Linked DNA regions of Ovis aries. The protein of the gene in region 2 interacts with the protein of the main gene of each other region in a pairwise test. Links are inferred from orthologs where the notes say so. Each region holds a gene or a part of one and is shown on either strand. Other genes may lie near its edges.

Region 1 (4,594 bases), on a different chromosome or scaffold from region 2:
CTCGGGAAGCTTTCAAGCAGATGGACATCCACCCCTGGACAAGTGAAGGCACCCTTCCCTGTTCACATGTCCTCCGCCAGCCCCTCGCCAGTGGCCACAACTCCAGGCATCGGATTAGACAAGCTAGCACCACTGGCTTCAGTGGAAACTAGGATTCCTGGCCCCGGTAGCCATGACGGTGATCATAACTCACAGATGTCTGCTTCCCCAGACCCACCAGGGGCAGTTCCTGCTTTGGCCTCTGCAAAGCCGGATCCAAAATTAACTGAACCCCGTCTGGCTCCTCCCGGGCAGGCAGCGTGAAGGCAGGAGCCTTATAAACAGGGTGCATGCCAGGCTTCCCGCCCTCCCCGGCACAGCTGACTTGCAGAGAAGAAAGACTCTCTTCCCACCAGGAGAAAGGCCTGTCTAGGCCACTGTCTCCCGGGCCCCAAACCTCCATGTCTGGAAATCTGTCTTCACTGGCTGTTAAGCAACCAGAGAGCCTCTAAGGAAAAGTGTGAACTTGGGTGGAAAATTCTGGAAAAGCTAAGCCTAGTGGGAACAAGAGAGAGAGAGGAACTACTGATGTGTTTCAAACCGGGTAAGTACGAGACCTCTCAGTGACCCGCATGGCTGGACTAATTACCAATGTTATCAGGCGGATGACAGACGTGCCCCGAACTTCCTCTGTTTGATAGATTCCGCTGCACACACACTCAAGTTCAGGCCCATGCCTGCTGCTTTCAGCAATGCCCTATTCTTCCACAGGACCACTCGGCCCCCCAGCTCCTCTGGCCTGCCCCAGGCCTCTGAGCTCGGCTAGCATAGCAGGGTGACCCGAGAGGGCCCCTCCTGCTGGAACACAGCACACAGAATCAGTGCAAACTGCTCCCCGGCAGAATAGAAAACATCTCTTCTTTCCCTGCTGGGGTTTCAGAGGATGACTGAAGACGGCTGCTTACCTTCCTCGCAGCTGCCACTGGGGAGCTCCAGCCCACGGGTGCCTGGCGGGGGAGCCCCTGGCCAGCGCACACCAGGGTCCCGCATTCTATGCAGGCACCGATGACCAGCTGCCGCCCGTCATCCACTAGCAGGCTGTGGCTCGCTCGCAGGGTGTAGAGAAACAAGGGCAGCCGGGCCACCCGCACGGCCTTCAGCCCGAGACACCGCTTCTTCTCCTGCTGGCAGAAGAAGCACACGAATGTCTCCACGCGGTACTGCCGAGACCAGGGGCTGACGGCATGGTGGGCACTGCGGGCCTCGTGCTGCAGCCACTGGCCCAGCAGGTCATGGTAGCAGAGCACACAGGTGGCCACCAGGCCGGTGGCGTCGGCCGGCCTGGCACGCGGGGCGGGTGGATAGACGGTGAGAAAGGGAAAGAAGGGCTCCTTCTCACCCAAGCGGCTGGACGGGTTCACGTTGAGCTGGAACTCCTTCCCGGGGCCCAGCTCAGCCCCACAGATGTAACAGATCGATGCTGGGCTGCCCTGGGCCAACAAAGGCGGCTCGGAGAGAGTAGGGTCCGAGGCAGAGAAGGCCTGGTGGTACCTGCCCAGGAAGCCCTGCACTGAGGTGATGAGCTCCTCGTTCTGGCAAGCCCGATATAGGGCCCAGACATCCTCCAGGACGCTGAAGCACTTGGGGCAGCTGCGGACTTCACAGCGCTTGTTGGGGCCCTGGGCATTGGGCGGGCAGGGCAGGAGGCTGAGGAAGGGGAAATGCATGGAGGCCCTGGCATTGCCGTTGAGGCTCCTGGAGGCCACAGCCCGGGCGTCCTGGGTGCAGTCCTCCCCGCAGAGGTAGCAGGCCTCCGGCAGGGACCCGGTGGGTGGGCCTTCTTCCCTCAGGAGCCGCCTGCCCTTGGAGGCCATGCCTGGGGCGTGGCTGTTCAGGGGCACCACGTAGAGCCGCTGCAGGACAGGCACACTGGCCAGTTCGAAGCTCTGCCATTGCTGCATGAGGGATGAGAAGCAGCAGGGGCACACCAGGGTGCTACCACCTTCGCTGATGGGCTGTGCCCCCGGAGGAGGGCTGTGCAGCCATAGGAAGGGGAAGAAGGGGGCCTGGGCCAGCTTCTCCTGCTTCTGCACGTGGATCTGGTGCTGCGAGGCTGGGGACAGCGCTGACCCACAGATGTAGCAGCAAAGGCCCTCTGGTGGTGCTGCCCGGCTCTCCGGGGGAACCCGGGGTGCACAACCACTACCATTTTCCTTGTCTTTGGGGCCTCGGGGTCCTGGGAGAGGCTGCTCCTTGCGGTCCTCCTCCTCGCTGGTGATGTTGATGTCACTGTCCTCAGACATGCAGTAGCCCCCACGGCTCTCCCCCAGTGGCCTGCTCTCAGGAGTCTTGGCGACCCTGCCCAAAGGAGCTCCTTTTGTGCCCTCTGCAGGGGCCACCTGGACTGAAGGCCCTTGCCAAGGGTCCTGAACTCCCCTCAGGACGCTGGCCCGGGCTTCTGGGACCCAGTGCCTCCCGGGGCCCTTCCGCCGGCGCCGGATGCCGGCCTTGGGCTCCCCATCCAGGCGGAGCTTTGAGGGGACTCCCTCCTCTTCCACATCCCCAGACACCGGGGTCTCCGCACCCTGTCCTGGAGAAGGTCCCAGCGCCGGCCTCCACTCCAGGCAGCGGCCACCGCGAGGCCCGGGCCCCGGGGCGGAGCGCGCAGCTGGCGCCCCATCCTGGTGGGGACTGGGGGCGTCGCGCGCCGCCGGGTCGGGCTCAGATAGGGGGTCAGTGTCAGACAGCTCCGACAGCTCCGAGTCTCGAGGCTCCTCGGCAGCCGCGCGGGGCCCGGGTCCGCCGCCTTCGTCTTCGTCGTCCGCGCCGCCCAGCGCGTAGGCGACGTTCCACTCGCGAGGGGCCGCGGCGCCCCCGCGGCGCCCGCCCGCGCCCGCGTCGCACTGGTGGGGACGCTTGAGCCAGTACATGCGCTTGTCCACGGGCGTGCGGGCGCGCTCGAAGGCGGCCCACTGCTCGCCCAGGAAGCAGCGGCAAACGGCGCACACCAGCACGCAGCCGTCGGCCGGGGACAGCTCGCGCGCGCCGGGCGCGGGCTCCTGCTGCTGCAGGAACGGGAAGAAGGGCTGCGCCGGGGCCCCCGCGCCCGCCACCGCCGCCGGCTGCTTCACCTGCAGCTTCAGCTCCTTGCCGCGCCCGATGCCGCCGCCACAGATAAAGCAGGAGAGCGGCGCGCCGCCGCCGCCCGCCGTCCGCTCGCCCACGGCTGCCATAAGCCGCTGCTTGCGGGAGACCGGCGCCGGCCGCCCGCTCATGGCCGCGCCGCGCCGCCCGCCCGCCCCGGCCCCCGCGCGCCCGGGGCGGCCCTCACCGCCCGCCGCCGCGCCCAACTTGGAGCATGTGTGCGCGCCGCAAAGTTTGGCGGCGGGCACGGGCGCTCCACCGCTCGCAGAGGCGCCCCCCCGGCCAGCCGAGCCCCCGGCGGCGCCGCGGCGAGCGCGCCCGGAACGCAGCAGCGGCGGCGGCGGGCTCCGGGCGGCTGGAGCGGCAGCCGCATGTGCGAGCTCCGGCGCCTGCCAAAGCGTTGGGTCATTTAATTGGGGAGGAGGGAGGCGGGGCGGCGGGCGGTGCGCAGGGAGGAGGGGAGGAGGAGGGGAGGAGGAGGGGAGGAGGAGGGGAGGAGGAAGGGAGGAGGAGGGGGAGGAGGAGGGGAGGAGGAGGGGGAGGAGGGGAGGAGGAGGGGAGGAGGGCGGGCGAGAGGAGGGAGCGCGGCGGGTGGGGAATCCCTCCTCGCGCTCCCTCCCCTCTGCCCTCCCTCCTCCCCTCTGCCCTCCCTCCTCCCCTCCTCCTCCTCCTCCCCTCCTCCGCCTCCCCCCCCCCACGCCCCCACCCCACCCCCACCCCCCTTGTCCCAAACTGCGCACAATAGCTCGCTGGCTCCTCTATCTATTTTGTGTCCAGCCGGGAGCCGCACTCGATGATTCATTGCCCCAATTAGGGGCTCTCTCCAGCGTGCCTGACTCTGGCCGTCTGAAGGGTCTCCTCGGGGGGACCCGCAGAAACCCATCAGCCGCTAGAGCTGGTCTTTAAGTAAAGGTCAAGCAGGACGCAGCCGGAGCCAGGTAAGGACGCAACCGGCATCCCAGGAGACAAGGGAGGGCTGCTCCCTCAGCCCCTAAGTAGGCAAGCTGCCGAGTAAGCTGGGGGACCCCTGCCCCCTCCCCATTCTAACGGGCCCTTTACAGCCTTGAGGAGGCCCGGGTTGGGGGCACCTTTCACGGCCCAGGGTTCTAATTCTGGTGACAGAGGTAAGAGGAGCTGTCCCCTGTCTCCTGGGACATATTAGAGAATGCACCATCCTGGGGACAGACTCCTTAGCCTGCCACACCCCCAGCCCACTGCTTGGCAGGGGCAAAAAGGGTCCTGTGTGTAAGGGCTGTGTGTTCCAGGGCACATGACTCAACAACTCTGGGCCCATTTTTCCTCTTGTTAGACAGAAGCTCTGGCAGGGGGTTAACTGTTTCCATGTATTTACTGTACCTATGTATAGATACATGTATTTATTAAACACAGAAACAGAGACCTTAGTACGTGCCAGGGGCAGAATCTAAGTACTTTACACACATCCCCTCAGTCGCTCCTCCCAATAATTCTG
Region 2 (3,803 bases):
CTGGCAAGCAGCCAGGGAGGGGAGAGAAGACTGAGAAATCTTAGGCGCTGAGCACCTGTCGTGGAGCAACGGAACACTACCTGGAGGGACTATTTAAGCTCTTGGTTCGGACTATGGTTTAAATCAGAATGGACATTTATTTGATTTTTTTTTCATCTCTCTACCCAGTGGGTGGCAGCTCTTACAGGAGATTAAGTTAAATAGACGAACGAAAGAAACTACATTTTCCCGGAGTAAATAAGTTGTGTGAGTAAAACCGTCAGCCTTGCAAGCGTTTCCCCCACCCCTTTGTGTCTGACGCCTCTTAGCTCTCAGTCCAAGACCAAGACTGTGTACCAAGCCACCTCAGCCGGTAGAAGCTAAGATTGCTAGGTTGTAGTTGAAATAAAACGGCCACATAATTTGTCATCTGGGACGCTTGAGAGTGAAAGGGGGTACAATGAATAATTATGCTGGGACAAAAGACCAAAACGGGGACTGTCCCAAGTAATCCAGGCCACGTGTCATCCGACTACAAAGCAAGCCCCAGGAGGCGGTGGGAAACGAGGACTGTGCCGTCGGTCAGGCTTCCCTGGGAGCCCAAGTACTTCACAGCCCAGGATTAGCCAAGCGGCTCTGAAAGACACAGCACAGAGTGAGCCGGAATCCAGACAAAGGAAAATGAGAAACAGGCACACGTGTGTGTGTGTGTGCGTGTGTGTGCGTGTGTGTGCACGTGTGCGCGTGTGCGTGTGTGCGTGTGTGCGTGTGTGTGTGCATGTGTGTGTGCGCGTGCGTGTGTGTGCGTGTGTATGCGCGTGTGTGTGCATGTGTGTGTGCGCGCTTGTGTGTGTGCGCGTGTGTGTGTGTGCGCGCGCGCGTGTGTGTGCGCGTGTGTGTGCGTGTGTGTGCGCGCGTGTGTGTGTGCGTGTGCGTGTGTGTGTGTGTGTGTGTGAGATGCATGCGCACGCGTATCTGGCAGTCGGTCTGATGGTGTCCCTGTGAAGAAAGTAACTAATGAGCCCACGGCTCTTTGTGAATGAGGCTCCTTGTGAGCCACAGCGCCTCCCTGGACGGCCACCACCGGATAACTGGGCCCGGACCTGCTCACTCACCTGGTACTGGGGGAAGGTGGAGGGGTTTGTGAACACGGGCGGAGGTGCGTAGTTCAGGTTGAGCCAGAGGGGCTGGTTCAGAGTTGCTGAGGTCAAAGCGGTGGCAAAGCGTGGGGTGAACACGTTCCCCGTGTACTTGAGGTTGTTCTTGTCGGCCCCGGTCACAGGTGGGTTAACTGTAAGTCACAGGAGAGGTAGAACGTTTCGTGATTGAGGAAGGGAGAGGCCAGCCTGCCCCAGCTCCATGACTGCCCCCAGAGTTAGTGTTCTCACCAGTCAGGTATTTTAAGGCTCCCAGAGCGTTCTTCAAAGCTCAAGGAAAACACTGTTAGTTCACATCTTGCCAACGTGGAAGGGGTGAGAGGCCCAGCATGGTCTGCCATGGAGCATCTCCTTCACGACTCACAAGTAAGGAGGCAGTTTAGCAAGAGATACAATCAACCAGCTTGTCTCACCTACGTGCAAAACTATATTCCTTCAAGTGCTTCGGAAAAATCCAGTTTGATACAAACAATTGCTACGCTGTGGGAAGCCATTCTTATCAAATTGTTAAAGCACCCCACTGGGGACATGCACTTGGCAACAGCGAGGACCTTATGTAGGTGTTGCATCTATGCCAGAGTCATTTTTTAAAAATATTTAAAAATATTATATAATCCCCTTTGGTAAGATCCCAAATTAGTCTGAATGAATGATATTTGATGGAGTTGTTTCAGGATATGAATCCTGGATTCTTTCCTTCTATAATATGTCCTGTGGGATTAAGAGTTAGAGATGGGGTATCAGTGTCCCCTTTTTAGCACCTTTTGTTGAGGGGAGAATGTTTTACTAAAACAGTTTTAGATGTACAAGGGAGAGAAAGCTGAGACGTGAATAATCGAAATGTAGAAATGATCTTTTTTTTTTTTTTCAAAATGTAGAAATAATCTTAAAGCACGGGATTTTCTTTGGCTCAGGCAACTTGAGGGGACATAAGACATGCTGAGTCAGGGCTATATTCAAATTAACCACCAATAAGGCCCATGTGACCCCTGAAAGTCAGCTAGATTTCTTGAGCTCTTCCCTGTAGGGGTGACACAGGAAGAAAGCCATTTCCCCATTTTACAGGACTAGGGAAAGACAGTGACCTGCCCATGGATGACAGCCGTTTGAGGACAGAGCTACTCCAGGGGCCTATGAGGGTTTCTGAAATCCCTTCCTGCATAGACTCTCTTCCTGCATAGAGAGATCTGGGCAGGGTCAGCTTACGTTTCAGCTCCAGCCTGTCCACCTCCACTTTGCCACGAAGTTTCAGCTGCCCGCTTGGGTTCTTGGTGGCCCCAAGGACCTCATAGAGCAGGTTCTTCTCAGCCTGCCAGGCAGGCTTCTTGGCCGGCAGAGCCATGGGGTCACTGCCACCCTCCTCACCACAGGTGTCCTTCCGGCTCGGGGACCACTGGCTGAGAAAGAGGCTCTCTCGGCCCCTGGTCAGCTCCTTGGCACCTGGGTTCCGTTCTAGAGCAGGAGAGAAGCTGAGTCAGTGACTCTGGAAGACCACATGCTGGATGGGGGGAGCATGGTCTTGTGGACAAAGTCATGGATCCTCCGCAGCACACCTGAGACTCCCACCACTCTGGGCTCTCTCTCAACCAAGTTCAGTCCAAGTCCAGTCCCTGAAGCCTTCCCTGACCAGCGCCCATGACGGTCTCACACCCTTGCATGCATGAATGCATTCATCCATTCTTGTCTTCTTCCGTCTGTCCACCCATCCATCCATCCTTTTACCCACCCATCCATCTTTCCTTCCTTCCATCCACTCATCCATCCTCCCTTCCCTAATCCCATTCTCTCCTCCTTAAAAAACTTCCTCCCTTTTAGTTCCCTCTCTTTCCTTACCTTCTTTTCTTTCTTTTCTTCCTTCCTCTTTTCCTCCCTGCCGCTTCTTCCTTTCTCCCTCTTTTTGCCTCCCTTCCTTCCCTCTAACCATTTGTAGGTTGGATCACAAAGGTTCCGGATAGTTCCTGTCTTCAGGGAGCACACTTGGCTTAGTGGCGGTGGGGGGGGGGGGTGGTTGGCGCAGACACATTCCCACACAACACGCAGCTGGTCCCTTGTCAGAGACTCTCCTCTTGCTAAGTCGTCGTGGCGATTCAGCACACTCATCAGCGCCAGGCTCTGACCTGAGTCCTGGGGACACTTGGATGAGTCAGAGCCAGACTTGGCCCAGCAGGAACTCACAACACGGAGGAAGAGAGAGACAGACCCAGAAATAGCTCCGGGACAAGGCAGATGGGGACCGTGAGGTGATGGAGGGACACAGCGGGGGAAGAGGGCGGCTGAGACAGCTTCTGTCTGAGGACCGGAGGGATTCCAGGAGGAGGAGGTCTGCAGCGAGGCCCTGCACCCAGAGCCATGGGTGACCGCAGGCAAAGGCACAGAGGCACGAGTGAGCCACTGGCTGCTGCCGGTGCCAGGCTCAGCTCTCTCTCTCCAAACAGACCAAGTCTCCCTTGTGCAAGGACACTGCCTAGACCACCAAGGATCCCCCTACAACAGTGGCTTTTCACCCGATTTTCCTTTTGAGCGATGGAACTCTTTCTTCCAACAAAACTCTTTCTTCCAACAAAGTATGGCAGGGGGATGCACCATACTGCAAGCGTAAATACATGGTTCGTGTATGCTCAGTTACGTCCGACTCTTTGTGACCCTATGGACTGTAGCCTGCCAGGC

What was found.
Region 1: the proteins of C1H1orf94 (region 2) and GSE1 interact in binary tests that used the Homo sapiens proteins (3 or more experiments, as listed by UniProt). The link is inferred for Ovis aries from reciprocal best matches to the Homo sapiens genes C1orf94 and GSE1.

Annotation. Positions count from the first base shown.
Region 1 is NC_056067.1:10,798,230-10,802,823, reverse strand, and holds the start of GSE1 (genetic suppressor element 1), read right to left. Parts: upstream 3,091-4,594; 5' UTR 2,910-3,090; coding exon 945-2,909; intron 1-944.
Region 2 is NC_056054.1:9,141,464-9,145,266, reverse strand, and holds part of C1H1orf94 (uncharacterized protein C1orf94 homolog), read right to left. Parts: intron 2,589-3,803; coding exon 2,343-2,588; intron 1,271-2,342; coding exon 1,095-1,270; intron 1-1,094.